Linked DNA regions of Caenorhabditis elegans. The protein of the gene in region 2 purifies or fractionates together with the protein of the main gene of each other region. This does not show direct contact. Each region holds a gene or a part of one and is shown on either strand. Other genes may lie near its edges.

Region 1 (15,802 bases), on a different chromosome or scaffold from region 2:
CATGACCGTTCGTGTGCCTCGTCAATCATGATAATGCTGGAAATTTTTTTTTTGAAAAATAATTTTTTTTTAATCGAAAAATTGAGAGATTTTTTGAAAATTTGAAGATTTTCACGTAAAAATTCGGATTTCCCATTTAATTTCACACCTAATAAGCATTTTTCCCGGCCTCAATTCCAAATTTTGAATTTCGAGGGGTACGGTAGCGCCAAAAGTACGCAAACACCGAATTTTACGACATTTTGCACAAATTGGCTGAAAAAGCTGTTCCAGGGGTGGAAATTTACGGGGAATTTGAATTTTGGCATGACAATGTATAGAAAACAATTTGAAATTTGAAAATACTGAATTTTTTGTTAAAAACTTTTTTTCAGAATTTTCCAGAAGTTTTCAAAGATTTTCAGACTGAAATTCGAATTGCTCGTCAAATTTCACCCCTAAAAACCTTTTTGGGGCTTCTAACCCTATTTTTGAATTTCGAGGGGTACGGTAGCGCCAAAAGTACGCAAACACCGAGTGTCTTGCGTACTCGGCACCCAACCTTACGACAGTTAGTCTAAATTGGCTGAAAACCGGATTCCGAGGGTAAAAAATGATGGAGAAGTCGAATTTCGTATTGAAAATCTGTAAAAATCACAAGTTTTTCGGGAAAAACGAAAATTTGGGCATAGCTTCCGCATGTCCGAGTGACAAATGTGCTCTATTGCCAAATTGTTGGCAGAAATACGGTATTTATTCACATTTTTAGCCCAATTTATGACTGAAAATGTGAATAAATACAGTATTTATGCCAAAAATCTGAATAGAAGCACAAAAGTCACAGGGGAAATATCGATTTTTTGGGGAGCAAGGGACATTTTTCCGTAATTTTTCGGGGAAAATGTGAGTTTTTATCAAATTTTTCTATGTTTTAGCAGTTTTCTGCAAGAAAATCCTGTTGAAAAATTGTTTCTAGGCGGAGGATTTTCGGATTTCTTCAAAATTTTCCGGGTAAAAATTCAAAAAATCACCTATATTTCGATAATAGTGGATCTGCAAGGATCTCCCTCAACAATAGCCCATCAGTCATAAATTTGACTTTAGTATCCTTATCCGATACATCATCAAATCTTACAGTATACCCAACGTCGTGCCCCAAAATACAGTCCTTCTCCTCGGCGACTCGGGTGGCTAACTGCAAAATTTTTCAATTTTTCACCCAATAAATTTCAGGTATTTGAATTTCCCGCCAAGCCATACCGTAACCACGGCCACCCTTCGTGGCTGAGTAATGACGATTTGGCGGCCGTCGGCCGCCCAACCGGCTTCTAGAAGGAATTGGGGTACTTGAGTGCTCTTTCCGCATCCTGTTTCGCCGACAATGATTATTGTACGATATCGTTCGCACATGTAGAGAATGTGACCGCGATTCTGAATGAAAAATTAATTTTCATTTGAAAAAAAATTTTCGAAAAAAACAATTTTTTTTTTTTTTGGAAATTTTTTTTTGAATTTTTCGCAGATGTTCAATAATTTTACACTTTTTATCTACTTTACCACTAAAAAATAGGGTTCCAGCTCAAAATTTAAATTTCGAGGGGTACGGTAGCCCCAAAAGTACGCAAACACCGAGGCTTGCGTACTTGGCACCGAACCTTACGACAGTTTCTTCAAATTGGCTGAAAACCGGGCTCCGGGGGTAAAAAGTGATGGAGAAGTCGAATTTCATACTGAAAATTAGCGAAAATCATCGGAAAAATGCTAAAAATTTGAAGTTTTCCGAAAAAATGAAAATTTGGGCATAGCTTCCGCATCTCCAAGTGACAAATGTGCTCTATTGTCAAATTGTTGGCAGAAATACGGTATTTATTCACATTTTCAGCCCAATTTAAGACTGCAAATGTGAATAAATAAAGTTTTTATGCCATCAATACGAGTAGAAGCACATGAGTCACTGAAATTTCAATTTGGGAAAAAATTTAACTTATTAAAAATTTAGCTTCAGTTAAAACTACAAAAAATTATTGAAAATTTTTTATCTTGAATTAAGAAAAATTAAATAGTAAAGAAAAAAAATTAATTCAAAAAATCGAAAAAGAAATTTTTATTTTTTGGAAGAAAATGTTTTTTTTTTTTTGAAAATTACAGTTTGTAGGTAGGTAGAGTGTATAAATTTGAGCTTTTTTGATATTATTATTGTAACATTTTGAAAAAAAAAAACAATTTCAAATTTAAACAAATCGATATTTTTTTTTCGAATTTTTCAAAAAAATATTTTCCAAAATTTTTTTTTTTTAGTTTTCAGGATTTTTCTCAATTTTTTAGCTCAAACTGTGCAAAATTTAATTTTCTCACAACTGCACAATATCTGAATTTTTTCGATTTTTATAGAAACAGTTTTTTCTCGAAAAATCTTTTTATTTTTTTTTTAAATTGTTAAATTTTTAGCTGGCACTATGTGAAAATTTTTGGTCTAAAAAGAAAACTGGGACAAATGTTTGAAAATTTCAAAAAAAATTTCCGAAAAAAATTTTTTCATAAAAAAAAAAACTTTCAAAATTTTTTTCACAAAAAATTCAAATTTCGCGGCGCCAAAGAATTTCCCGTAGAACATTTTCTTCACCTTAAAAATAGGTAATCTAATTCTCTGCTGTTGAATATTCAATGAAGCATATGGATTATTGTGCACTTTTAGTTGCTCTTCAATCGGCGGAGCTGCTCCCGCGTTTTCGGTAGATCGTTCCTCGAAAATCAGTGGTCCGGTACGTGGAGCGTCTGCAGAGTCATCCGGTCGAGCAAAACCACGACGGGCTCCGGCTCCTTTTCTGGGCTCCTGACGGTGACCGTGTCCCGGGTGATAGGACATTTATGGCTGAAAATTCAAGTTTTTTCAGTGAAAATTTTAGATTTTTCACTGAAAAAAGTGAGAAAAACTATTTAATTCATGGAAAACTAAAGAAATTCGGAAAAAAAACGCCAAAATTGAACAAAAACCCTTTCATTTTCAATGATGGCCTAGAAATCCAAATCCACGTGGCCTAGAATTCCAAAACTCGGGCACCAATAAATTCAGCTCACTGAGAGCTTTCAAATAACCCCCAACATGCCCAGGTTCCGGTGATTTTGAAATTTTTGGGTCTCGCCACGCGGGGTACTGTAGCACCGGTTTCAGCTGTGTCGAAACGCGAAAAAAACTCAAAATCGCCGGAAATAGGGCATGATGGGGTTCAAATTGAAGCTGAGAATAGCGGGAATTCGAATTTTTCAGAATTTTCAAGAAATTTATAGAAAATTTGAGTTTTTCTGGACTTTGGACTAACTTTTTCAAAAAATTTCAAAAAAGTGGTTTTTTTTTTGAAAAAAATAGTTTTAACAACCAATTCGCACAAAATACTATTTAAAACTATTTGGTAAAACTAAATTTCCGAGCAAATTTCGAAAAAAAAGGTCAAAATCTCCGATTTCTGAGTAATGGCCTAGAAACCCCAGTTCTCGTGGCCTAAAATTCCAAAACTCTGCCACCATTGAACTCAGCTCACTGAGAGCTTTCAAATGGCCCCCAACATGCCCAGGTTCCGGTGATTTTGAAATTTTTGGGTCTCGCCACGCGGGGTACTGTAGCACCGGTTTCAGCTGTGTCGAAACGACGAAAAACCTCAAAATCGCCGGAACCCGGGCATGATGGGGGTCAAATTGGAGCTGAGAATGGCGGGAAATCGAATTTCTACATGGTTTTCAATAAATTTTTGAATTGAAAAAAAAATTGTAGAAAAAGTAATAAAATTCGAATTTTACAAATTTTTCAGCTACCATATAATAAAAGGACAAGAAATTCGCAGAGGAATGACTATTATTTTCAAAAGATTTTACGAGATTGGTATAAACAAATTTTAAAAAAATAATTCTAAAAAAATGGGGAAAATTTCAAAGAAAAATAATTTAAAATTCCAATTTCAAAAATTTCAAAAAACGAACGCCGAATTCGAATTCTCCGAGTCATCAGCTTTCAAATGACCCCCAACATGCCCGGGTTTCGTCGATTTTGAAAATTTCGGGTCTCGCCACGCGGGTTACTGTAGCACCGATTTCAGCTGTGTCAAAACGGCGAAAATTCAAAATCGCCGGAACCCAGGCATGTAGTGGGTCATTTGAAAGCTGATGACGTGGAGAATACGAATCTGACATTCATTTTTGGAAAATTTCAAAATTTCACAATTTCAACAATAAAAAATGCGAGAAAATTATCGATTTTTTCACTTTTTCTTTGCCGATTGTTCCTGAATCTTCTTCTGCTCGTCGGCGATCGCATCATAAAAGCAATTATCGGGAAAAACGTGCGGATCGAAGATATTTTTCGCGAAATTCGTGCCTTTTTCGTCAATTTCGAACGCATCGATGAATGTTGTGTAGCTCATCGGATTATTGTACTGCTGATTGCCTTGAATTTGTTGATTTAGATCGGTTCCGAGGGCTTTTTGACGAAAAGCATGCTCAAATCGTGTTGCAATCGCTGGATTCACTTCGATCTCCGGTGGTGGCGGGATTTTGAGCTGCTGCTCTCTGGTGCTCTCGGCGGCTCCTTGGTGAGTTGGAGCTGAAAATTATAATTTTTGTTTGAGAAATTTCAGTTAGAAATTCAATTTTACACTATAAACCTTGAAAATTCTCCGAAAAATTCTGAAAATTACAAGTTTTCCGGGAAAAAAAAAATGAAAATTTGGGCATAGCTTCCGCATGTCCGAGTGACAAATGTGCTCTATTGTCAAATTGTTGGCAGAAATACGGTATTTATTCATATTTTCAACCAATTTTAGCTATTTTTAAGCGGAAAATATGAATAAATACAGTTTTTATGCCACCAATCTGAGTTGAAGCACACAAGCCACAGGGGAAATATCGATTTTTTTGGGACTTCCCAGCTTAAATTGCACAAAGATTGAGCTTCTAGCAATTTTTATTTGAGCAGCTTGAACATAGAAAATTGAATTTTCATGATTATCGATGAAAAATTCTCAAAGTTTCTGGCGTTTTCTATTTTTTTTTTTTTGGAAAGTTTAGCATTCAAATGTGTGTTTAACTTTTAAAAGTAACTAAAATTCAACAAAAATTGCGTTGGTGTAGTAGAAAAAGTTAGGCCACCATTTTTTTTTCGACTAAAAATTGGCTAAACGGGTTAAGATTCATGCTTTTTTTTAAAATTTCCACTGAATTGGTATAAAAGATGGACAATTCAGCCTTTTGCTCAATATTTTCACTTTTGAACAGAAAAATTCCGAAATTCCAATTGGTGGCCTAGATTTTCCAGAAGTTCGGAAAAAATCGCCAAAAAATGAAAATTTGGGCATAGCTTCCGCATGTCCGAGTGACAAATGTGCTCTATTGACAAATTGTTGGCAGAAATACGGTATTTATTCACATTTTCAGCAAATTTAGTGCTGAAAATGTGATTAAATACAGTTTTTATGCCAGAAATCTGAGAAACGCACAAGTCACAGGGGAAATATCGATTTTTAGAAGATTTTATTTTTTTTTTAACTGAAAATTTCGCGATTTTCAAGTCAAAAAGGTTTTTATTACCATTATTTGAAATAAAACTTTCAAAAAATCGATGAAAAACGGCTTGAAACCATCATTTTCAGATTGGTGGCCTAGAAATTCCAAAAGTTAGGCCACCAATCTATTTTGTGCGAAAAAACCATTTCTAGGGGTAAAAATGAGTGGGAAACTCAATTCTCAACTGAAAAACTGAGAAAAATCACTAGAAATTCGAGATTTTTCGCTTTTAAAATCATTTAGAGAGCTTTTATAGCTGAAAAATCGAAATTTTTTGATTTCCTGGAATTTTTGCTAAATTTTGTACGGTGGAAATTGAAAAAAAAATCCAATATTTGGTGTTTTTCTATAAGAATTCTGATTTAGTCGATTTTTAGCTCCCAAAACAGCTAGCTTGGTCTAGTTTTGTAATTTTCTAGGCCACCACTAGAAAAATCCCGTACTTTTATCGAAATTTTCCGCCGAAAACGGTGAATCCACAACTGAATCCCGTCCAGGCGTATCTGAAGGTGAAATTTCATCGATATTCATTCGTAATATCGCCTCATTTCCCTCTTTAATTGCTCGATCAATGAGCTCTTGCTCTTCGTCACTTTCAACGTCACGGCTCTGTCGTGGCGGTGGAGCCGGTTCTCTGATCTCTGAAATTGGCGTGGCTCCGGAGATTTTAGGCGGTTCGGAGGAATCTTCATCGTCGTCATCTCCGTCTCCGGAATATGAAACCAATGAAGTTGTGGAGGCGGCCTGGAAAATTTGAAATTTTTTGGCCGAGTTTTAGATTTCTAGGCCAGCTTAAGCCTAAGCCTAAGCTTGGCCCTAAGCCTGAGTTTAAGCCTAAGCCTGGGGCTCAGCCTAAGCCTAGGCCTAAGCTTGAGCCTAAGCCTAAGCCTAAAATCGCTGATTTTTGACGGAAAATTCGAATTTTTAATCGGTTTTTCACATTTTCCAATGCCAAATTCAATTTTTTTAGCGGAAATTCCGAGTTTTCGCGTCAAAATTTCGTGATTTAGCCGTTTTCCCGCGATTTTCACAAATCCTACATGTGGCATTCCAATAACTGGAGTTCTGAACGCTGCTGGCGATGGAGAATGATCATCAAGTCGTTTTGGAGCCGGTGGCTCGGCGAAATCCTTCGGCGAATCCTCTTCGTCTGAAAAAAGCCCATTTTTTGGGCGATTTTCCCCCAATAAAATCGATAATTTACCTCCATAAACGTCGGAAGCTCGTCGTTTTCTCTCTTTTTCGAATTCTTCTTTGAATTTCTGCGCTGTGCTTTGGCCTGGAACAATTTAGAAATTTAATTTTTATGATATTTCCGGCGAAAAACCTTCTGATGACCTTCTTCGCGGCGATTCATCATCACTTTCTCCTTCGTAATCCACTAAATTGTTCATTTTTTGACTGAAAAATGCAATAATGAGCTTGAAATCTGGGAAAAATTGATATTTTATACAAAAAATAAATATTTTTTTAATTCGAAACTTGTCCGAGAGGAGTACACGTCAGGTGGTCCGCAAACACCGTCACGTTAGAATGCACAGAATGCATTTAACTTGACGACGTTTCCACTTTGTTTTTCATCATTTTAATCAATTTTGAGCTATTTTTCAGCTATTTTATGAGGATTTCTTTGATTTTTTTCAAATTTTAAGTTAAAAATTCGAATTTCAGAATAATTCCGACCCAAATCGATGTTCGTTGTGCCCTGCTAAGCGTCTCCGTCGCGCTTCTCACATTTCTGACGCCATTCACAATGGATTTACGTGGTTATTCGCCTCAAGTAACCGGATTTTTCGCGTGTTTCTCGAGTTTTAAAGCTATTTTTTGCAGACAATCGTCGCTGGGACACTTATTGGTGGAACACTTGCCGCTGCAGTGACCTATGCGTTTTTGACAAGCAGAAATGGTGAAGAAGGTGCGGTTTTTGGCGGGAAAATCGATTTTTTTCGTGGAAAAAATCAATAAAACTTGAAATTTTCAGCGTCCAGCAGCAGACTGGTGCCCGGATTAGCGAATCAGGGCAATACATGCTATATGAATGCACTTTTGCAAGGATTGGCGAGCTGCCCGTCATTTGTCGGGTGGTTAAAGTCTCTGAAGCCTCAGGATATTGGAATTCAGGGTAAAAATTGGAAAAAATACCAAAAAATAGAGCGAAACATTGGAAAAATCATAATTTTCACACGAAAATTCGATTGAAAATGAAAAATTCCGGAAAAAATGCAAAAATTAACAGCTTTTCTTACAGAAAACTACTAAAACCCAGCAAAATTCGATGAAATCTCACATTTTTCCCCCGAAAACCGCTAAAAACTGTATTTTCCTCAGAAAAATCGATATTTCCCCTGTGACTTGTGTGCTTCTACTCAGATTGGTGACATGAAAACTATATTTATTCGCATTTTCAGTCTTAAATTGGGCTGAAAATGTGAATAAATACCGTATTTCTGCCAACAATCTGACAATAGAGCACATTTGTCACTCGGTGATGCGGAAGCTATGCCCAAATTTTCATTTTTTCGAAAAACTTGTAATTTTCAGCATTTTCCAGTGATTTTCACAGATTTTCAATACAAAATTCGAGTTCTCCATCACTTTTTACCCCCGTAACCTGGTTTTCAGCCAATTTGGACTAAATGTCGTAAAGTTCGGTGCCAAGTACGTAATGCACTCGGTGTTTGCGTACTTTTGGGGCTACCGTGCCCCTCGAAATTCAAAAATTGGGCTAGAGGCCCGGAAAAAGGTTTCCTAGAAGTAAAATTGCACGGGGAATTCGAATTTTAGTGTGAAAATTGCTTAAAAATCCATGAAAATTCTGAAAAAAAAACGTTTTAATCTAAAAAATTCAAAATTTCCAGCTAAAATGGGTTTCCGCAGTTTTCAGCCAAAATTTGTGATTTTTCCAGGCTTCACCATTTTGCACATTCCAAATTTTTACCTAAAAATTTCAATTTTTGTCCTAAAAATTCCAAATTTTAACCTAAAAATTCCAAATTTTAACCTAAAAATTCCAAATTTTAACCTAAATTTCCAAATTTTAACTTAAAATTCCAAATTTTTACCTAAAAATTCCCACTTTTTTCCAGGCGGCTTCGTAGATCACCTCTCCAATTTGCTTCATTTGCTCAATGAGCCAACAGGCTCCACCCTCACAGCTCAATCAATAGTCGAAAGTTTAAAGGCGCATGGTTGGAGTATTACTGTAGGCGTTGAACATGATCTCTACGAACTTTTCAATGTATTTGTAACAACTTGGGAGGATGAATTGAAGAGTTCCCGGCGTATTTTAATGAATCAATCGATTGAAAATTGTCATAGTAGTAGTAGTGAAGATGATGAAGATGTGGTGGTGGAATCGACGAGTTTAAGAGGATCCCCGTCAATTATCAGAAAATTGATGAGTTTTCAGAGGTTCGGACGTGGAAAATTAGCTAAAAATCGGGTTTTTTAACCTAAAAATTGCCGTGTTTGACCTAAAAATCGCATTTTTTTGCCTAAAAATTCTCTTTTTTGGCCTAAAAATCACCTTTTTTGGCCTAAAAAATCACATTTTTGACCTAAAAATCACCTTTTTTGGCCTAAAAATCACCTCTTTTGGCCTAAAAAATCACATTTTTGGCCTAAAAATTACCTTTTTTGGCCTAAAAAATCACATTTTTGGCCTAAAAATCACCTTTTTTGCCTCAAAATCACCTTTTTTGGCCTAAAAATTGTCTTTTTGGCCTAAAAATCACCTCTTTTGGCCTAAAAAAATCACATTTTTGGCCTAAAAATCACCTTTTTTGACTTAAAAATTGTCTTTTTTTGCCTAAAAATCACCTTTTTTGGCCTAAAAATCACCTTTTTTGCCTCAAAATCACCTTTTTTGGCCTAAAAATTGTCTTTTTGGCCTAAAAATCACCTCTTTTGGCCTAAAAAAATCACCTTTTTTGGCCTAAAAAATCACCTTTTTTGGCTTAAAAATTGTCTTTTTTTGCCTAAAAATCACCTTTTTTGGCCTAAAAATCGCATTTTTGGTCTAAAAATCATCTTTTTTTTTTGCCTAAAAATTCTCTTTTTTGGTCTAAAAATCACCTTTTTTGGCCTAAAAATTGTCTTTTTTGGCCTAAAAATCACCTCTTTTGGCCTAAAAAATCACATTTTTTGACGTAAAAATCACCAGAAATTTCTGATTTTCACCCAAATTTTCAAATTTTCAGATGCGCCTCAATGGCTCGAATTGACGCGAGCCTCCGCTCACCGTGTGTCGGCCTAACTGCCACAGAATACAGATGTTGCAACACAAATTGTGGATATAGGGTACAAATTTTGTGAATTTTAGTGCGAAATTTGCGAAAAAATCGAATTTTCAGATTGATTTTCGAAATCCCCACACAATTTTACACCCGGATCAAGTTTTTCCAGCTTTCTAGCTTTAAATTTGAGTTTCCCGGGGGTACTGTAGCGCCAAAAGTACGCAAACACCGAGCATCCCACGACAAATTGCACAGTTTTCGTATTTTTCACGTTAGAGCCTTAAAAATTGGGTCCCCGGGGTGAAAAGTGATGAGGAAAACGAATTTCTTACCGAAAACAAAGGAAACCCACGAATTTCTAATTTTTACTCAGTTTTTAATAATTTTCAATGCCATTTTCGAACTCCCCGCCATTTTTAACCACTGAAACTCTTTCTCCCAGCTTTCTAGCTTGAAATTTGAAATTTCCGGGGTACTGAGGCGCCAAAAGTACGCAAACACCGAGCATCCCACGACAAATTGCACAGTTTTCTGAAATTTTGAGAAAATATGAAAAATAGGGGTAAAATGGTGCTTTGAATTCGAATTTCGCAGTGAAAAATCGCAAAAGTTCCTAGTTTTTGAGTTTTCCTTGAATTTTCTCTGAAAATCCCCTAAAATAACCGAGAAATCGATATTTCCCCTGTGACTTGTGTGCTTATTCAGATTTTTGACATAAAAACTGTATTTATTCACATTTTCATCCTTAAATTGGCTTAAAATGTGAATAAATACCGTATTTCTGCCAACAATTTGACAATAGAGCACATTTGTCACTCGGACATGCGGAAGCTATGCCCAAATTTTCATTTTCGCCCGATTTTCGGCACATTTTCGATGGTTTCGGGCGATTTTTAGCGCTAAAATTTGGTTCTCCGCTTGCTTTCACCTTAGTTAGTTTGTTTTTAACGAAAAACGTTTTGGTGGCCGAACTTTTCGGATTTCTAGGCCACCAATTCTAAAATGTTGATTTTTGGCAGTATTCATAGTTTTTTCCGGAAAAAACTTTTAAAATTTAAAACAAAGTAGCACGTTTTTGAGCTCCAAAATTAGAGCATCAGGTGAAATATTCTCCAAAGTGAGCATTTTTGCTCAAATTTCCGAAAAAATATCTAAAAATTTTGATTTCTGCAGAATTTTTCTATAATTTCAAAACTTCTAACTTGATTATCTCTGATTTTCATTGTATAAGTCTGAAATTTTCGGAAAAAATTCCAAAAAATCGATATTTCCGTGGCTTATGTGTTTCTACTCGGATTGGTGGCATAAAAACTATTTATTCACTTTTTTTCATAAATAGGCTAAATTTGGCTGAAAATGTGAATAAATATCGTATTTCTGCAAACAATTTGACAATAGAGCACATTTGTCACTCGGTGATGCGGAAGCTATGCCCAAAACCAATTTGGACTAATTGTCGTCAAATTCAGTGCCGAGTCCGCAGACACTCGGTGTTTGCGTACTTTTGGCGCTACCATACCCCTCGAAATTCAAAAATGGGGTTAGAAGCCCGAAAAACGGTCCATGAGGGGTGAAATTAAATGGGGAATCCGAATTTTTGCATGAAAATTGCTAAAAAAAAACCTGCAAATTCCTGAAAAAAAGTTTTTATCCAAAATGTTTTTTCAACTTTCAAAATATTTTTTTCTCGTTTTTATTGCCAAAATTCAATTTTCCCGCAAATTTTCACCCCTTGAACTGTTTTTCAGCCAATTTGTGCAGTTTTTAGCAAAATTCCGTGTTTGCGTACTTTTGAGGCTACAGTACCCCTCGAATATCAAATTTTGAGCTAGAAGCCCGGAAAACGGGCTCGCCAGTGGTGAAATTGAACGGGGAATCCGAATTTCAGCATGAAAATTGCTGAAAAATCTCGGAAATTTTTAACTTTGCAGACAGTAAAATACGAATCCTTCACAGTTCTGACTCTGGCAATCCCAAATTCTCAAATGGGAACCTCCACAAACACAGAATCCCTGCTCCGCCGTTTCTTTTGCTCGGAGATCATTCGCGACGCGATTTGTGACAAATGTCGGGCTTCTGACCGGAAACAGCAGGGTTTTCTGAAAAAACACGGAATTGTGAAGCTCCCGCAGACCCTAATGATTCGAATCGAGCGAGTTGGAATGCTGCCAAATGGAAGTATGAAATTATCGGAACACGTGCATTTCGGCGAATGTCTATCGCTGCAGGACGTTTGTTTTCGGAAAAATCCAAAAATTAATCAGGTTTGTGCTGGAAAATGCTAGAAAATTGCGGAAAATTGCGGAAATTTTGGGCAAAAATTTGCGAAAAATGGCGAAAATTTTTATTTCAAATTTTTCAAGAAAATCAGTAAGAAATTCGAATTCCAGACGCAATCAGCTTTCAAATGACCCCCAACACGCCCAGGTTCCGTTGATTTTGAGTTTTGGAAGTTTTCGACACAGCTGAAATCCGTGCTACAGTACCCCGCGTGGCGGGACCCAAAATTTTCAAAATCCACGGAATATGGGCATGATGGGGGTCATTTGAAAGCTGGTGGCGTAGGGAATTTGAATTTGGCGTTGGCTGTTCGAAATTCTGAAAATTGACAATTTTTTGGCCCGATTAATTTTTTTTAAAGAATTTGTTCAATTTTCGATATTTCCGAAAATTAACTATTAATCTGAGTTCTCCACGGTATTAGCTTCCAAATGACCCCCAACACGCCCAGGTTCAGTTGATTTTGAATTTTGGAAGTATTGACACAGCTGAAACTGGTGCTACAGTAATCCGCGTGGCGGGACCCAAAAATTTCAAAATCGACGGAATACGGGCATGATGGGGGTCATTTGAAAGCTGGAGATGTGGAGACCTCGAATATAATGTGAGTTGGCTGAAATTTTTCAAAAATTGGGAATTTTTTATCGTTTTTCGAAAAATGTTTCAAAAAACTTAAACAAAAAATTTTTCTTTTTCGATTTTTCTGAAAATTAATGCAATATTTGAATTTTTCACATTATTAGCTTCAAAATAACACCCATCATGCCCATATCCCGTTAGTTTTGAAGTTTTCGGGTCTCGCCACGAAAATTCTTCGGGTTACTGTAGTTATTCGCCGCGGGACCCAAATTGCACGGAAACCAGGCATGTTGGGGGTCATTTGAAAGCTAATAACGTGGAGAACTCAGATTAATTGTTAGTTTTCGGAAATATCGAAAATTGAAAAAAAATTCTTTAAAAATATTATACATTCGGCGAAAAGTTTGTCAATTTTCAGAATTTCAAATAACCAGCATTTTTTCTGAGATCTCCAAGTCACCAGCTCTCTAATGACCCCCATCATGCCTAGGTTCCGCCAATTTTGAAAATTTTGGGTCCCACCACGCGGGTTACTGTAGCAACGATTTCAACTGTGTCGGTTGGTCAAGTTGCTCGGAACCTGGGCGTGTTGGGGGTCATTTGAAAGCTGAAAATGAGGAGAATATGAATTTATTACTGAATTTCCAAAAAAAAAAATTCAAAATAGAAATAAAAACTGTGAAATTTGGGTGAAAAATGCTGCAAATTTCCGCCAAAAATTGGATATTTCCCAAAAAATTCCCCAATTTTTCCAGAAATCCTACGAAGAATCATCTTTGCATTGGCAATTACCAGATGGAACATCCCGTGTTGTCGGTGGAGCTGAAGAAACAAGATCCAGAAGATCACCAATTCATCCATCTCAGGCGGCGATTTTTGGAGATTTAGCATCAAATTATGCACTTATTGAGTGAGAAAATCGGAAAATTGGCGAAAAATGATGGAATTCTGGAATTTGCTGGAAATTTCGCGAAAAAAAGCACAAAATCTGTACTTTTTTCACTTTTTTTCGAAAAAAATTTCACTGAAATTGAATTTTTTCGGCAAAATTTCATCCGGAAAAATGCTAAAAATTTGGGTTTTCTTCAAATTCTCTCGAAAAAAGAGTAAAAATCCCAATTTTCAACATATTTTTCCCCCAAATTCAGAGAAAAAACCCCCGATTTTCAGCGGTGGCTCATTCGTTGCCGAGCGACGTGAAGCTCAAAAGTACGCATATCAACTGAGAGCAGTCAGTGAGCACAGAGGAGGTCCATATTCTGGACATTTTGTCACTTATCGAAGAGCAAGTGCTCCAAATCATCATACATGGTATTATACCAGTGATGCACAGGTAATAAATCTCTGCAAAATCTGGGATTTTCTGCTGAAAAATCGATTTTTTTATCTTAAAATTGCCTAAAAATTTAATTTTTTGCAAAAATTGAAAAATTTTCATTTAAATTCGAATTCTCCACGTCTCCAGCTTTCAAATGACCCCCAACATGGCTATATTCCGTCGAATTTGAAAATTTTGGGTCTCGCCACGCGGGTTACTGTAGCACCGGTTTCAGCTGTGTCAAAACTTCCAAAACTCAAAATCGACGGAGCCCGGGCATGTTGGGGGTCATTCAAAAGCTGAGAGCGTGGAGAATTCGAATTTCAGCTTTAATTTAAGATATTGAAAAGTTTGAAAAAAAAATTATGGGAAAATTTTGAGAATCTTGGATAAAAATTCGGAAAAAATAGGGAAATTCGATTTTTTTCACTGATATCTATTAAAAAGACAGTAAATCATTAAATTTTGCACAAAACCACTGACGAGTGGTAGTTTTTCCTGAAAAATTGAAAAATTTTGGGGAAAAGTCTCCTAAAAACTGCTGAATTATCAATTTTCCGGAAAAATGCCGGAGAAAACCCTGAAAAGTTCAAGCAACTTTTTGACTTTAAATTCTATAATTTAAAAAAAAGTATCCCAAAACTTTGAATTTTCCCTGAATAAATTTCCACAAAAAATCGATATTTCCCCTGTGACTTGTGCGTTTCTCAGATTTCCGGCATAAAAACTGTATTTATTCACAGTTTCAGTCTTAAATTGGCCGAAAATGTGAATAAATACCGTATTTCTGCCAACAATTTGACAATAGAACACATTTGTCACTCGGAGATGCGGAAGCTATGCCCAAATTTTCAATTTTTCCCGAAAAACTTTAGATTTTCAAGAGTTTTTTCGGCATTTTTAGCTAATTTTTGACTGCTGTTTCTCAATTTTCAGTCAAAAAACCAAGAATTTCGATTTCCAGTAGTCTTACCTAAAGGCATTACATATTGATAACATGGTGAAATAATTTCCGGTGTGCTCAATGAGACACACCCCTGCCTACCAGAGGTGGGAGGATATTTTTTTCGGATATTTTCTAATAATGAATTTATCAATAAGTATTGATGTAGTTATTCTGGAAGAAATGTATCCGAACAAAAGAGTAACTATTAAGCAACATTTTAATATGATAAAACCTAGAAAAATTCTACAAGTTTTCTGTATAAACGATATGTAAGTCCATTATCCGATATCCGTAATATCCGATATCCGATGTTGCTCGACTAATAAGTTTTAAGGTCTCGGTAAGAAAAACTTGTAGAATTTTTCTAGGTTTTATCATATTAAAATGTTGCTTAATAGTTACTCTTTTGTTCGAATACATTTCTTCCAGAATAACTACATCAATACTAATTGATAAATTCATTATTAGAAAATATCCGAAAAAATATCCGCCCACCTCTGCTGCCTACCAGGGGTGTGCGGATAATAGCCGATTTAGCCGAATTCGCCGATCGGTTAATTCGGCTAAATCGGCTAATATTAGCCGAATTAGCCGTTAGCCGACTTTTTGGCAGTTCGGCTAATACGTAGTTATCCGTTAGCCGATTTTGGCCGATGTTAGCCGAATTCGCCGATCGGCTATTTCGGCTAATTCAACTAACATATTTTTTTGGAAAACAAAATGTGGTGAAATTGTATGATTTTTTCCTATTTGAACAGTCGTTCATCCCTGAATTTGCTCAATAACAGTGAAAAAATTAACCCAAAACCTGAATTAACAGAATGGACAAAAAAAGCTTAACCAAATGAATATTTTCCGAATTAGCCGAATTAGCCGAAAATTAGTCGATTTGAATGACTGAGATTAGCCGAA
Region 2 (15,655 bases):
TGCAAATTTTTTTAATCATTAAAAAATTTTGCAAACTTATATAAATTTTTACAGTTGTATTCGGTATATTGAGACTGTCTTCTGCTAATCAGGGCAAAAAAGCTCGAATATAGGTTCTTTAAAATTAATAACCTTTGCTTTTCCGAGCTTCTGGGTTCGGGAGTTTTGAAAATAAAATTATCAGAGTTGACAATGGGCATCGAGGTTTTTGTCGAATCGATTTTCTTTTCACCATCCTGAGAATTTGCAAAGAAATCATCGAATATCGAACAATCAGGATTCGTGGTTCCCATCGAATTTCCAGGAAATGACTGTTGACTATTGAATATGGAGAACTGTGTGCCCAACTCAGAGAATACTTCGCCAAATTGACTATTCTGAGAGTGAGACACATCCGGTCTGAGTTCACGACGAGATGATGATCTTGGAGTGACATTTGGATCATATGTATCTTGTGATTTCAGAATCGAATCATCTGGGAAGTTGAAAATGTTAAAAAATTCTGGATTCACTTCATTTGAAGATCGAATTGTTTCATGAGGAGTATCTCTGGCACTCTGAATCAATGATTGATTCATTGATCGATTTTTTGGAGTACTGTGGCGCGAAGATTGTTGAGACCTGAAATGTTGAAATTGTGAACTATTTTGAAGGATTTTTCCAATTCTTTTTCCAAAATTTTGGCCTAAGGAAAAATTTTCCGGGAAATCGAAAAATCGGACCTTGTTGTTTTTGGATTATATATATCTAAAAAAAATTTTTAAAAATCTTCTGAAAACGACGTTCAAACGCGCTCCACGGCGAAATGAAGATGCTCCGCCCCCTCACTATGGGTCTCGTTAGGTATTTGCCGGAAACCAGCAATTTCAAGCGTTTTCAACAAATTTTTGGAATATTTTTCGCCAGTTTCAAATGGTTTTTATATCGAATTTTTTTTTTGAAAAACATATGTGAATTCAGATTTCCAAATATCATTTCGATATGAAAATCATTAAAAACAACGGAAAAAATATTTTTAAAAAATGCCGAAAAATGCCTGAAACGCTTAAATTCACGGTTTTACCGCCAAATACCTAATGAGACCCAGCGGTTGGAGGCGGAACGTTTTCACATCGATTTTAAAAGGGTTTTTTTTCAATTTTTTAATCCAAAAAAGACTCACTTTCTGTAAGCCTAATATTTTACAAAAAAAAATAATTTTTCAGCAATGTGTGTTTTTTTTGTTTTCAATTCCAAAAACTTCAAAATAAATCGAAATTCGACGTTTTTTTTTTGGTTTTTTTACAAATTGCATGTTTTGGTCCCAGCACTGATCTCCAAAATAGAAAATTGAATTGAAAAATGGAACCTTCTATCACTGATCGGCGTCTTGAATGGATCACTTTGCAAATATCGTTCACTGACTCTGGAGATCACATCTTTCTCCGACGATGGAAATTTTGGTTCGAGGAATGAGCTGAAAAATCAATAAAATGCAAAAAAAATTGGGCTTCCAAAGCCCACCTTATGGAAAGCTGTTTTGGGGTCTCGAGAACTTGTGATTCTTTCACATTTGGTGTCTTCTTGAAAACTTCAGTTCTGACTGATTTTGATGCTGAAGGACCTGGTGATGAAGTAGACGTTGATCTAGGCCTTTTGACACCACCAGCTTCACCCATTTGGATTGGAGTTGGAATATGTATTGCAGTTCGAGTCGAGAATGAGTGTCGGGAGCTGAAAATGAGCACTTTTTAACGAAATCAGCCCGAAATGACAGAAAACCGTCTAATAGAATTTTAAATTTTTTTTTTGAAGAAAAAAACGAATGAATAACCTAGTTTTCGACATTTTTCTAAACTTATTCGTTTTTTTTCTACATTTTCTCTTGGCCTCTCGATTTGAGACCTAATTTTTAACATTTTTTTACGGATTCAAAAAAGTTCGGCCCTTTCGATTATTTTTTGCGGAATTGAAAAATTATCTAAATAATTTCTATATTTTTTCGCCGGGGTGTTGTCGAAAAAATTTTGAATTTTTTTAATTTTTCGGGGTTTAGAATTAATCGAAAAATCAACAATTTTAAAATCATTTTAAAATTTTGTTTATTTTAATGAGTAAAACCCCACAAAAACATATCGTTTTTCTATCTAAAAAGAATAATAATGACCGAAATCGATTTTTTTTTGTTGTAATTTATAAAAACGTTCTTATAGAGAAATTGGAAAAGTTTTAACAAATGGAAAAAAAAATTAATTTTCGATTTTTCTTTGAAATAAAAAATATCGTTAAAACATTTTTTCTAAACATTTTTTTTAAATGCTTTTCCTTATTAAACAAAATTTGAAAAAAAGTAAATTTTTTGAATTTTTTTTCTTCTTTTTTTTCCCTGAAAATCAATTTTTAACTTTAAAAACTGGAAAATTGACGAAAAAAAATAGAATCTCAAATTCTTTGCCAACACTTTTCTATAATTTTGGGAAGAACAATAAACTGAAAATTTCCAGATACTTTATGGATTGCTGCTTCTCTTCTTCACTGGCATATTTCTGTACAGACGGAAGTGTTGGTCGAGATACAGGTGCACTTATTTGATCTTCCTCTCCTTCAGTACCTTCATCCTCTTCTTGGAATGGATCAGGAGACATTGATGATTCCATACTACTACCTGTCACTTTTTTCTTTTTCTTTTTTGGTAACAAGGCATCGAGCACAGAAAGTTGATCCACTGAAGCCATCGATCGCGATGAAAGAACACTATTTGATCTACAATAAAATTAATTTAAAAAAAAACAATTTTCACAGTAATAACCTGGCTGTGATGGTACTGCGACTTTTCGATGCCGGAGTAGAAGCTTCTGATCTCTCCTTTTCAATTTCCTCGCTCACATTTCGCATTGATGATTCGCAAAATGATGTTTTCTTTCTTTTCACAAATGATTCTACTGCGGCCATGAAACCATCTTCATCAGCACTGCAAAATATAGTTTTAATTTTTTTTTTGTTGTAGGAGCCAATCAAAGGTTTTTCGCGTTATTATCTTTAAAATAGCCCAAAAGGAGCAAATTTCGTACCGAACTTTTCCAAAAAGTACAAACAACACTTGATTCTAGCTTAAATCTCCAATTTCGACAACTTTTCCGTTTCGAAAAGGAAATTAGAAATTGGCAAAATGGGGTATTTTAGCTAAAATTAAGTGTTTTTTTTAAATTTTGAAAAGACTTGTCAGGGGTTCAGAATTTTCGATTGTGAAATTGTACGCATCTTATGAATTTTGAAAAGTAAGTAAATTCTAAGAAAATATCTAGAGAAAACGGGTAATTTTATTTTTTAAAGGCACAGTTTTAAGTGTTGCCGTTTTATTAAATAAATAACTTCCGGCAAATTTCCGGAACTGAAAAATTCCGGCAAATCGGCAAACCGGCAACTTGCCGAATTTTTTGACAAAAAATTTGCCAAACGGCAATTGCTTTTTTCCGATATTTTTGGTCATTTTCCTCCATTAAATACTTCAAAAATCATACAGAACAACATCCATGTCTTCCACAAGCTGTTTTTCATTGTCATTCGAAACTTCTGCCTTAATTTCTTTGAGTAGAGTTCCAGCTTTTAATGCTTTATAAATTCGACAAGCTCTTCCAATTACAGGTGGCGGAATTCCTTCCTCTTTAGCAACCGACAGTGCGAACGAGCAATCAACCAAGCCAGGAGTCATACGGAAAAGGTATTTGATCTTGCCACCAGCTTCACGGAGAACTGTGAACGTCTAGGAATGAATATATATATTTCAGAGAATTATTTTAACAAATTTTTTCAAAGAAAAAAAAAACAGAAAACTCACCAAGAAAGTTGCAATGTTAGTTTCAAGAGGAATATAATTTGGAAGCGCGTGGAAATGTGACGATAGGAATATATGAGGGCATCGATCAGCTCCCCTATTCATCCAATAAGTCATGACAGATGCCAAAAGAGAAAGTCCAACTTCTGTCATTGTTCCTTTTCCAAACTCATCAATGATAACCAATGAGTTGCCAGTAGCTTTCCTCAATGCCAACGCAACTTGTTCTACGTCTTTTGCAAATGTAGACATCCCATCGAGAACTGAATCCACAGTAAACATTCTGGTAACAATTCGATCGACTATTCCTATTTTCGCATGTCTAGCTGGCACGAAACTTCCAATATGAGACAGAAAAACCATGATTCCAATTGATTTCATGTAGACACTCTTTCCACATGCATTTGGTCCTGTTATAATGCTTGCTTTAATTCCATCTCGACCACTACTAACTTGATTCGGTACGAAACTCTTCTTGACAACTAGAACACTAATCGGATGATATAGCTCGACGGCTTCAATCACGGGCTCATCTACAAGAGCAGGACAATTCCATCCGTTTTGTGCAGCAATTAGGCCGAACGAAATGAGCACATCGATTCTAGAAGCAATAGAGAGAAGTTTAATGATACTTCGCTTTTTCTTCATCACTCTTGTCTTCAAAGTGAGAATGATTGCAGTCTGGCTGTCGATTAATCTCATTAGAATATCTCCAAATTCGTCGTCTAATCTTGATGTTGTGGCATTTCTCACTCGTAAGTCTTCGTGTGTGGAGTATAGTAGAGTCATGCTGTGAAATTACAATATGATGAGAACCAGGGATGGGTGGCAATTGCTGTTCGGCAAATCGGCAAATTGCCGGAAATTTCCAATTCCGGCAATTTTCTGGTTTGCCGATTTGCCGGAAATTTTCATTTTCGGCAAATTTCCGATTTTTCATTTTTTTTTGCCAATTTCACAACCGTTTTTAATGGTTTTCATGTATAAATTATGTTTGAAAAGTGCATATGAAGATGAGTTTTGCCTATGAATTTATTATCATCAGTTTGGACAATTCCACCATTTTTCCGTTGTTTCCATTATTTTTTACGTCAAAACTAACCTACTTCAAAGTCCAATTTTACATGCACTTTTTTAGCACTATTTTTGCATAAAAACTAGAAAAACAATTGAAAAAAGGTCAAAAATGCTTGAAAATCGGATTTTCCGTTGATTCCTAACGAGACCCAACGTTTAGGGGTGGAGCGTGATTTCATTTTGATTTGAATTGCTTACTCAGGCTGTGATTCCACACCGTAATCTCTTGGAACTGAAAGAACAAATCCGACGAGTGGTATGTAGACACACGCCACATTAGAGTACGGTGGTAGACCAAGTCGAGCTTCTTCCTGTTTAGCAATTGCAGTGAGCACCATTGGCATGTTCTCATATGTGTCGCGTACTGAAGAAATAATAAAATAAGGGCTTGAAAACAATTAAAAAAAATACTTTCATCCAATTCTTCATCGATTCCATTCATCACTGTCACTCTTCCTTGAATCTTCGACTCTGCGAAGTTGATCTGAAATTTTTGAAGTTTGATTTAAATCTTATTCCTGGTCTCGGCACGGCAAAGTTTTGATAAATGTGGTTCGACTACTGTAATCGCAAACTTTTTTTGCTCTGGAATTTTCATCGATTTTTCACAGTTTTCCGATTAAAAAACTTCAACGAAAGAGTTAAAACACGAGATTGTTAACGAAAATGCCAGCGACAACAAAGTTTGAAAGTACAGTACTCTTCTCTTGTCGTGTCGAGACCAGGTACCGTATTTTAGAAAACACTTGGCAACATACAATGGAGCCCGCGATGACTGCAATTTCAGAGACTTCTCGGAGAAGATCTGATTCTACAGGAAACTCCTTCGAAATCTGAATAAAAATTATTTGAAACCTCGCTTTTTTATAAAAATTAATTATTTGAATTTACCGGTGTCTGCCTGATAATATTCAAGATTTCAACAAGCGCGTTGACTGTCGATACGAAGCACTCCCAATGAATGAGCTGAGCTGTTCCACTTTGAAATTTTTGGAATACACTCTGAAATCGGCCAAAAATGAATTAAATTAAACTTGATTGCTATTTAATACGTTCAGAGCCTTCACTCTTCCAAGAATTGATGATAACTTAGCGGTCACTTCGGCGTTCCAGTCCTAAATTTGAGAAAAAAATGTATATATTTGACGAAAAGATAATTTATTAAAGGTGGAGTACCGAAATACAAAAAATATTTTTTTAAATGACTTTAAATTTTCTCATAATTCCGAATATCTAAGTGAAAAAATTCAAAAAAAATTTCCCTGATTTTATATTTCAGCTTGAAATCGCGATTTTCATTTGCGTCCCCATGAGACTTTTCAAACGCCGAACTTTCGTGCCTGAGACGCCCCACATGTCGATTTACGAGATTTTTAAACTTTATCGGATACTGATTTCCGTTTTTCAACGAGTTTCCTTCATTTTCGTCGGTTTTTGCCAGGTTTTTTTTGAAAATGCGTTTTTTAGGGTTAATTAAACATTATATCAACAAAAATCTATCAAAATTTCTTTTCCCGACAGAAAATCGAAACTTTTGTAGTTTTTCGATAATATAATGTTTAATTTACCTTAAAAACACATTTTCTTTTAAAAAAAAACCTGGCAAAACCGACGAAAATGAAAGAAACTCGTTGAAAAATGAAAATCAGCATCTGATAAAGATTGAAAATCTCGTAAATATACACAAATCTCGTAAATCGACACATGCCGTCTCTGGCGCGAAAATTCTGCGTTTGAAAATCGCGATTTCAAGCTGAAATATAAAATCAGGGATCTCTTTTTTAAAAATATTTTTTCACTTAGATATTCGGAATCAGGGGAAAATTTGGAGTGATTTAAAAATATTTCCCATAGATTTCGGTACTCCACTTTAAAGATTATCACCTGTTTGAAGTAGTGCACACATTTTTGTCTTGACACAAGATCATCTCTATCCGTAGTCGGATTTCTAAACCATTTTCGAAGGCACTTTTTTCCAACGGTTGATCTACATTTATCCATCAACTGATAAAGTGATCTACCTTGTCCGAAAGTCTTCTTATTCTCGGTTTCCTTTGGCAGAATATCCAGCGCCTGAATTGTGTTGAAATCGATTTCTACCAGGTTTCCTCTGAAAAAGAAGAAAATGATTTTTTTTGTTTCAAAGGGAAATAAAAAACAAAAAATAGTAAAATTACAATGTAAATGTCTTGATAGATTTGATAGGTGAAGTGACTGACAAAGGATCGTCTGTCACGCCCATCCTAGTTTCATCGAGGAAAAGAAGAAGTGCTCCAAATGATCTTATCTGAAGATGGAAAATAATTTTTTTTTTGGCTCAGAGATCTGCTAACCATATTAACAGCTTCAATATCAAATCTCATCTTGATGATAATGTACTTGTCCTCTTCCGTCATCGAACTGTCATGGGACCCGGCCATCGCCTTTAATCTTTCTATAGCTCGCGACATTCCTGCAAATTTATTTTTAAAATCAAAAATGTTTGGAGATTATTAAGCAACTGAAAAAGTTGTTCGGGAGCTTATTAAGCTTCGCCGGTAATCCTTCGTCATCATCATCTTCGTCTTCTTCTTTTTCTTCTTTTTCCGCCGTTGTCTCGTCAGTAGAATAAGCTAGCGAAGAATCCCATGTCGGAACCGTATCCTCTGATGTTCCTTCTTCTGTAGTCCCGTCTTCATAGATTTTTTCCTGTGGATCATCTGAAAAAAATTTTAAAAAAATCTTTTTTTTTCAATTTTTATAATGATTTTCATACACCGCGTGGTCAAAAATTTGATAAATTCGAGATCCTGGCTTCTATTTGCGATTATTAGCGTCGGCTTCACATCGTCTATCACTGAAAAAAATGAGTTGAATTTCAAGCTTTTTGGATTTAAAACTGACATCTCTTCAAGAATCTAAATTCAAGATCTTCTGAAATATCGTTCATGATCTTCAACAACTGGCTTGATTGCTCGTAGTAGGCAGCTCCGAGCATTCCTTGAGCAAAAGAAAGACTGAGCACCGTTTCATCCCGAAATTGCTCCGGATCCATCGGCATGTCTGCAATTTTAATAAATTATTTAAAGAAAATAGGAATAATCTAGAGTTAACCTTTGAAATAAGCGCCATCCTGAGCTCCCTTGTGAAAATTATCATCACGGGGTAAGGCGACGGCGGTCAAGCTTGTACCGCGACCTCGGCCTCTGCCTCGACCGCGGAATCCATTCCCGCGTTTTGAATTGTAATATCTCCATCGAGTGGACATTTGAACCAAAATTTCATAAAATTATTTCTGATTTAAGAAAAGGTTGCTGAAAAACTAAAAATTGAAATATTTTCGGTTTTTTTCGGTTCTTGTAAAGTAATTTTAAACGTTTTAAACATTTTAAACTTCAAAAAGTTGATTGAACACCATAAAAAGTAACTATAAACAAGACTTGAAAATAGAAATTCCGAAAATTTTACTAAAAACTGAAATTTTCGTGTTTTCTGCTACGAAACTGAATTTTTAGGTACGTTTTATTAAATTAAATCAAGTTTTTAGCATTTAAACTAACCAAAAACTCGTAAAATTTATTTTCAAACGAGGAAAATTGTTTTGGAAATGCAATTTAAATTAAATTCTCGACACCGCCCGTTTTTCTTACCGTAACTACAAGGCGCATACCGATTTCGGTTCATCGGGTCCCGCAACGATCACTACAGTAATTCAATTATTTTCTTTAATTTAATTTAATTTAATTAAATAAATAAATATTTGTTATTTCTCGAATTAAAGCTGGATTTTCAGTCGAAATTGTTGTTTTTTTCACGAAATAAAAAGTGGATAATTCTATTTTTATCAAAATTTCTTTCGAAACTCCCCAAATTAAGGTGATTTCCAGCGAAAATAATTAACTTTTTCGAATTTTTCTAATATTTAATTGTTCCCTCTTCCATCAGTCACCTCTTTTGCTAGTAATCCCGGTCAAAGCCAATATTTGTTCATTTTTCTTTTCTCCCTCTCTTTTCTCCGCTCACAGGGCCGAGAAACTGGACAACGTAGACAATTTGCAGTGCATTCGGCCGCGCTCATTCGCTTATTCTGCGTGTAATTTCTCTAAAATAACGGTTTGTCGTGTCTTAAAGCTACATAAAAATCCAATTTTTTCCATTTTTCAGGGTGAAAATGAGCCGGATACTGCTCCTGCTTGCTGTATTAATTGGTGCCACGTCACAAAAAGAAGTCACCATCAAAAACGAAAAATGCAGGACGTGTAATTTTCTAGTGAGCACATTTGATGAGGTTTGTGCTCTATTTTTATATTTAAATGAATTTAAAAATATAAAATAAAAAGAAATTCCGAATTTCAGGGTCTCAAAAAAACGGCTCGCCATCATTTTGCCGGTGGAGACACAGCTTGGGAAGAGAAAAATCTGGGAAAGTACAAAACTAGGTTGGTTTCTCGAAATTTGGCGCTGGAAATATTTTAAATTAAAAAAAAAATCAAAATTTTCAGTGAAACCCGGCTAATCGAAGTTCTCGAAGGTGTTTGCAAGAAATCGTCGCTCCCAAATATGGACAATTTTATGGGAATCGCAGAAATCGAGTTTAAAGTATTCAAAAAATTAAATTTTTAATAAAAACCCTGTAATTTCTATATTTTCAGTGCTCTACTCAACTTGAAAAGCATGAAGAAACAATTGAAGAGTTCTACTACAACCAGCAACACAATAATATGTCAAATTGGCTCTGTGTTGAGCAGTTAAAATGTAAAAATTTCTTAAATTTGACTATAAAAACGTATGAAAATCGAAAGAAAACGCATTTTCCATTGAAAATTCGCGAATTTCGGCCTCAAAAATTGAATTTTTCGCTATTTTCTAAATGAAAATCGCGAATAAAACGAACATTTTAAAAACTAGATTCTTCACAATATACCCCGAAAAATCAATAAAAAATTGAATTTCCAGTCTGAAATTTTTCGAGAGCCTAATTTTCAATAAAAACCGAATTTTCAAGCAAAAAAATCGCAAAATTCAACAAATTTCCGCCAGAAAACTTAAAAATGTTATTATTCCCGTTGAAAATCGCCAAAGATTTGCAAATTTCATACTAAAAATTGAGTTTTTTTTCTATTTTTACTGTGAAAAGCGCGAAAATTTTGTAGTTTTATTAGAAAAAATACGATTTTTCACAATTTTCTGATTAAAAATAGCTAGAAATTAATATTTTTCGATTTACTAGAAATTTGTGATTGAAAATTGAAATTCTTTAAGCGAAAATTAATGCAAAAAAATTAATTTTCGGATTTAATTTTAAAAAACCGTAATTATATTTTTTCGCGGCGAGACCCATCTAAACAATAACGTGCGCCTTTAAGCAATATTTTATAATATTTTCCAAACTTTTAATAGCAAAAAATAAATAAAAAAATTTCAGTGTGCTGCCCTGATGGACACTTTGGTAAAAACTGCGAACAATGTCCTGGATTAAGTGAAAAAGCTGATGTCTGTTTTGGAAAAGGATCCTGTCATGTTAGTCAATTTTCTTTAAAATCTTGAAAAATTGAGAATTAATTTTTCCCTTTAAAAAAACCAACAAAAATCCAATTTTCAGGGAGATGGAAGCCGCGAAGGCAGTGGAAAGTGTAAATGTGAGACTGGATATACTGGAAATCTATGCCGATACTGTGATATCGAGTATTTCGAAGAATCTCGGACAGTGCAGGGTGTCGTTTGTAAAAGTTTGTTTTTTTTTTTTTAATTTTTGAAATCGAAAAAATAAATAATTGAAAAAATTCAGAATGCCACGAGGGCTGCCTTGGAGTTTGCTCATCGGAGAGCTCAAAAGGATGCTCAAAATGTAAAAATGGGTGGAAATTGACAGAAGAAGGGTGCGCAGGTATGAGAAAAGTTGGAAAAAAAAATTGAATTTTCATTTAATATTCTTGAAAAAAAGAAAAGTTTTTGAAAAATCTCCATTTTTCGTGTTTTTCTATCTAATCAAAAAATTGTGAAAAAAAACTGGGACTGAGAGCACAAATTTCGCGATTTTTCCCCATTTCTGCTTGGAAAAAGTGAAAAAATTTCGTGATTTTTCCGATAAAAAGCTCTGAATTTTGAAGTTTTCACCTGGAAAATTCACAAAAGCATAGATTTTTCGTGTCATTTTCAAAAAAAAGTAAAATCTGGTTTATAGAGAAAAATTAACATTTTCCAGACCAGATTTTTGCTGAAAAACATTTTATTTGAAAAATTAAAATTTGCAGAATTGCCGAAACACTATGCAAAAATCTATAAAATTCAATGCGAATTTCAATTTTTTTTTTTTAGAATTCTAAATTTTTGAACCGCCATCTTAACTTTTAATTAATCAAAAATCCTTATTTCAGACGTCAACGAATGCCAAAACGAGTCCGCATGCACAAAAGAGCACGAAATTTGTGTGAACACTGTCGGATCGTTCAAGTGTGAATGTAAGGAAGGATATAAGAAGGATGATGAGCAAAATTGTCAATTTGACGTCGAAGGTTCGTTTTTTTTTTCTTCAATTTGAATGTGGTATTAACAAAGCATGATCTGGTTTACTTCTGGATAATCTAATTTAAATTTCAGTTTTCAAAAAAAAATCGAAAAATTGCATTAAAAACAAAAATTTCCAAAAAAAAGGGACGAGCTTTTCTGAAAAATCATGGTTCAAAAAATATATTGCGAGAACATAAAAAATGCGTATTACACAACATATTTGACGCGCAAAATATCTTGTAACGAAAACTACTGTAATTGACTACTGTAGCGTTTGTGTCGATTTACGGGCTCGATTTTCGGGAAAAAAGTGACAGCAATATTCAAATTGTAATTTTTGTGATTTTTTCAAAAATGTTCAATATTTTTGATCGATTAATAAATGATTTCCGTAAATCGACATAAGCGCTACAGTAGTCATCTTACTGTAGTTTTCTGCTGCGAGATATTTTGCGCGTCAAATATGCTGTGCAATACGCATTCTCAGAGTTTTGTGCACCAGGAATATAACGTCCTCTTCACAAAACCCCACACACAGAACGGTTTTTACTACGTGGCCGTGATATAAGAAAACTCGGCCACCCTCATAAAAAGAGTTAGGGCCATTCAAAACCGTTGTGGGGAAGCTTCAGCTGGAGCTCCAAAAATATCTAACGTGAAAAATTCAAGATAAATCGCTGGCCAAGTTTTTACTTTTTCTAGGCCACGTAGGAAAAAGCGTAGGAAAAAGCGCTCAAGTTTCCTAGATCGGATGGAGATTTCTACGATTCTGTAGAGAGATTGAAAGCGTTATATAAGTAAACCTAACAAAGTCTGAAGCTTCTGCATGTTCCCTAGGGGCTCCTTCACCCAGTTCCAATTTCCTCTATTCACCATGGTTCAGCATCTCCTGATCGCCCGTTCATGCCAATCGACCAGCAACTCAAATTGATTGCCTTCTCCTCTCTCATCATCATCATCACTTTCGTCGTTTGGCACGGATCCCCAGTGCTCTATGTTTTAACGGGAATCACCATCGTCGCCCTGATTCTTGTCGATCTTTATGTTAATCCTGACACAATTCCCGACGAGGCCAAGCGATTTTTAGGATATTGAACAATTTTTAAAATTTTTTTTATTGGTTTTATACGGTTATTAAACAGTTAACAGCGCTTGCTCAGAAATTCATCAATAAAATGTAGAATATTTTCATTTTTTCAAAATTTGCAGCCTTGAAAGCAACGGAACAGCAAGCTCATGAAGATGAGGATGGAGACGATGACGATGAGAAGGATGAATTATAGCCTATATTAATTTTAACATTTTTTATTTATTGTTGCTATATATATGCATTTTTTGATTGCTTTCAATCCCGATCTGTCTGTGATTTTTCTCTTGTTTTCTATGTGCAATATATATATATATATATATCACATTTTTCAAATAACATGGTAGATTTATGCCGAACTTTAAAAAAAATGAGAAGAACTGCTAGAAGAAAGAGATCGTGAAATGTGTGAACGAACTGAGAGATCATACGGCGAAAAACACGCCAATCGATAGAAAACGTGGCGATGTACGTGGCGCGCGGTGGAGCAGCAATAGATCAAATGTAGTCGGGTGGCGGGATTTCGTTGCGAAAGTCAGCTGAAAGTTTCCGGATTCGTGACATCTTTGGTACGAAGACACATCCCATTGGCGAGAAGAAACAGTTTCGTGTGTTGCTCAATGACATTTGTCCCGGACGTGGCCTGGAAATTGTTTTGGGGTTTTTAGGTTAAAGAGTGGAAGAGAAAAAGCTAGGCCAGCATTTTATTTTGTAGATTTACGAGCAATTTCGCAATATTATAAATAGTTTTTTTTTTCGTCAAAATGTGCTGCTTTTTGTATTTTTTCGCAAAAGAAATTGTAGACTTTTCCTCGAGGAGTACACGAACTGCGTAAATCGACACATTTTCATTCTTCAAAGTTCCGCAACATTGCAAGTGACCCCTCACACTCAAGAATGTGGGCGAGAATTGGAAATGTGAGCTTTCCAAAAACGAGTTCAAACTTTTCAAAAAAAAAAGGTTCAGACACATTTCCGGTGGACGTGTTCAATGGAAAAATGTATTTTAAAGAAACACTTCATTTCTTGGAAAATCTAAAATTTTCAAACTTGGGGAAAACTAAACTCTCAGATTGGCATTTCCTGGGGGCTATGTTTGTTGGATTCCGGCTTATGCTTAGTTTTAGGCCCGGGCTCAGGCTTATGCTCAGGCTCAGGCTTAGGATGAGTCTTAGGCTTAGGCTTAGGCTTAGGCTTAAGCTTAGGCTCCGACTTTGGCCTGAAATTTATTTAATTTTTTCCAACTCACATTGCTTCTGTAGTGTGTGCACTAAGTAAAACGAGAGCCATCAGGGCGACGAACACAAACCACCGAGTGGACATTTTACCTGAAAAGTTGAATTTAATTTTTTTGAACTGCACTAAAAAATCCAAAGAGCAAAGATGCACGAAACAGTAGATGAATGAATGAAATCAGAAAGTGTGAATGAAGCATGAAATAGGCGGAGCTTCATGAGAGAGATGACGTGGCACCAGAGAAAGAGAGAGAGAAATTCGAAACAAAACGTGGAAATTGTCTAAACTTGTAAAAAGTTGTTGAAAGTCTCGGGTTGCATCGTTTTGTGGGTGGTGGGCACAATCATTCAGATGAGCTCACAAATGTCAACGGTTGAATAGATCAACCTTTCTTTATGACGTGGCTTTTTGATTGGTGGTCGAGAAAATAGAAAACTCGGCCACCTACAAAAGGGTTTCTGTAGAATCACTCACTCACATAGTTTATATTCAGTTGGAAATCTAAAAAAAACTGAAAAAAATCTTAAAAATTAATTATGTTATTTTTTAATCCTAAAATTATCAATTTAATGTGAAAATTGAATAAATTCTTTCAAAAAATAGATAAATATCATTTCCAAAAATTATCAAAATCTAGTTTTTTTCTAGGCCACTTCTCCCTCCAATCATATCGAAAAACAATATTTTTCATAAATACTATTTTCCGAAAAAAATCAAAATACCGAAACCTTCTGGTTCTACCCATTCATATGACGTGACCGCGAAAAAATTCGGTGGCCGAGTCTTCTCTATTTCTAGGCCACGTCGCAAAAACCGACATATGCTTTGCACGTGACACGAATGTGAAAAGTCGCTGCAATTTCTCTCGTGACTTGGTCAGCAATAGACAGGTACATGCTGATTTTAGAAAAATGCCAAATCTGTTATACATATCATACATCACTTTCAATTTGGTCAGAGCACATTCTGTTTTCTGCGAGTTCATCATTAGCTCGAAATAGAAAAACGCGTGATGAACAAGCCTAGGGCTTTATACAGTCAAAATGGTGTCAACTACAAAACTACCCAACACATTGTTCTCTACATTTTTGTAGTTGTGAATTTTTTGATATCATCGAAACTGCCCATGCAATACAATTAGAAGAAATTGAAGTTTGATACTATAAATTTTTGTCTCCCTAGGGCCCCCTGATCGAATCCAATCTGACGAGAGCTCTCAACGAATACTGTTTCAGGGGCGACTGATTAATCTTCCGGTGGTGCGTAATGTAATCAAAACTACTGAATTAGACACCAAATGGACCGGAAATTTGAATAGAATAGTGAGAACCGGGAAGAAAAAGAAGAAGATGGGGGCCTACTGAAAAGAAACAAAAACAACAATGATTTAACTTTTGTGCTTTTTTTTGTGAGGAAAAAAGTACATTGGTTCAAACTAGATACACTTTTGACTGGAAAGCTCACTCAACTGGACCACGAAAAGTCAACATATCAACATTTTTTAGACCTCCGGAACCCTTTTCAGCACGTAGTTGTAGTAAATTGAGGTGCCAGAGGGTTAGTACAGAAGCGGAGACCTGGCTTGGGCTTAGACTTAGGCCTAGGCCTAGGCTGTGGCTTAAGCTGAGGCTTTGGGTGCACCATGTTCTTCTCATTTTGAAAAAAAAATTGGTCCCAACTTTATCGACCACCACGAAGCAATCTTCTAGACAAAATAAGCATGGGGGCCAAAAAGAAACTCCCCCACCCATGCCTAGGAAGTTTCTAATTAGACTCGCCATCTCTTCCGAACGTCACTACATCCGTCAGAATGCAGAATGCAGAAAAAAAAACAGAAATTCGCGTTCTTTTTAATCGGACTTCGGCTTGCTGTTCCGGAACACATAATGAGACGAAATGTTTCAGACATTGAAAAGTGGGTGGAGCTCTGGGAGGAGAGAAGCACACAAAAT

The links.
Region 1: the proteins of msh-5 (region 2) and Y67D2.2 fractionate together in Caenorhabditis elegans (co-fractionation; one large-scale study listed by BioGRID). This does not show direct contact.

What each region holds. Positions count from the first base shown.
Region 1 is NC_003281.10:1,551,597-1,567,398, forward strand, and holds the start of Y67D2.2 (Ubiquitin carboxyl-terminal hydrolase), read left to right. Parts: upstream 1-7,203; 5' UTR 7,204-7,285; coding exon 7,286-7,312; intron 7,313-7,362; coding exon 7,363-7,447; intron 7,448-7,513; coding exon 7,514-7,654; intron 7,655-8,618; coding exon 8,619-8,943; intron 8,944-9,731; coding exon 9,732-9,831; intron 9,832-11,698; coding exon 11,699-12,031; intron 12,032-13,381; coding exon 13,382-13,536; intron 13,537-13,796; coding exon 13,797-13,959; intron 13,960-15,802. Other genes in the region: ddx-35 (putative ATP-dependent RNA helicase DHX35 homolog), read right to left, coding at 1-36, 1,011-1,174, 1,240-1,410, 2,603-2,845; eelo-1 (Early ELOngation arrest), read right to left, coding at 4,233-4,573, 5,976-6,276, 6,573-6,682, 6,737-6,811, 6,860-6,926.
Region 2 is NC_003282.8:13,147,716-13,163,370, reverse strand, and holds the start of msh-5 (MutS protein homolog 5), read right to left. Parts: upstream 8,139-15,655; coding exon 7,985-8,138; intron 7,934-7,984; coding exon 7,775-7,933; intron 7,728-7,774; coding exon 7,647-7,727; intron 7,591-7,646; coding exon 7,393-7,590; intron 7,344-7,392; coding exon 7,225-7,343; intron 7,179-7,224; coding exon 7,069-7,178; intron 7,002-7,068; coding exon 6,776-7,001; intron 6,007-6,775; coding exon 5,944-6,006; intron 5,894-5,943; coding exon 5,783-5,893; intron 5,725-5,782; coding exon 5,650-5,724; intron 5,376-5,649; coding exon 5,303-5,375; intron 5,256-5,302; coding exon 5,090-5,255; intron 4,605-5,089; coding exon 3,818-4,604; intron 3,743-3,817; coding exon 3,501-3,742; intron 2,951-3,500; coding exon 2,789-2,950; intron 2,743-2,788; coding exon 2,488-2,742; intron 1,714-2,487; coding exon 1,504-1,713; intron 1,457-1,503; coding exon 1,349-1,456; intron 622-1,348; coding exon 133-621; intron 1-132. Other genes in the region: Protein disulfide isomerase crld-1, read left to right, coding at 9,042-9,158, 9,227-9,309, 9,373-9,469, 9,523-9,625, 10,296-10,390, 10,473-10,599, 10,659-10,757, 11,248-11,385 and 1 more; nlp-79 (Neuropeptide-Like Protein), read right to left, coding at 12,966-13,110, 13,717-13,790. UniProt on the Caenorhabditis elegans protein: Crucial component in meiotic recombination, functioning at some point after the initiation step of recombination. Plays a role in promoting the crossover outcome of meiotic recombination events.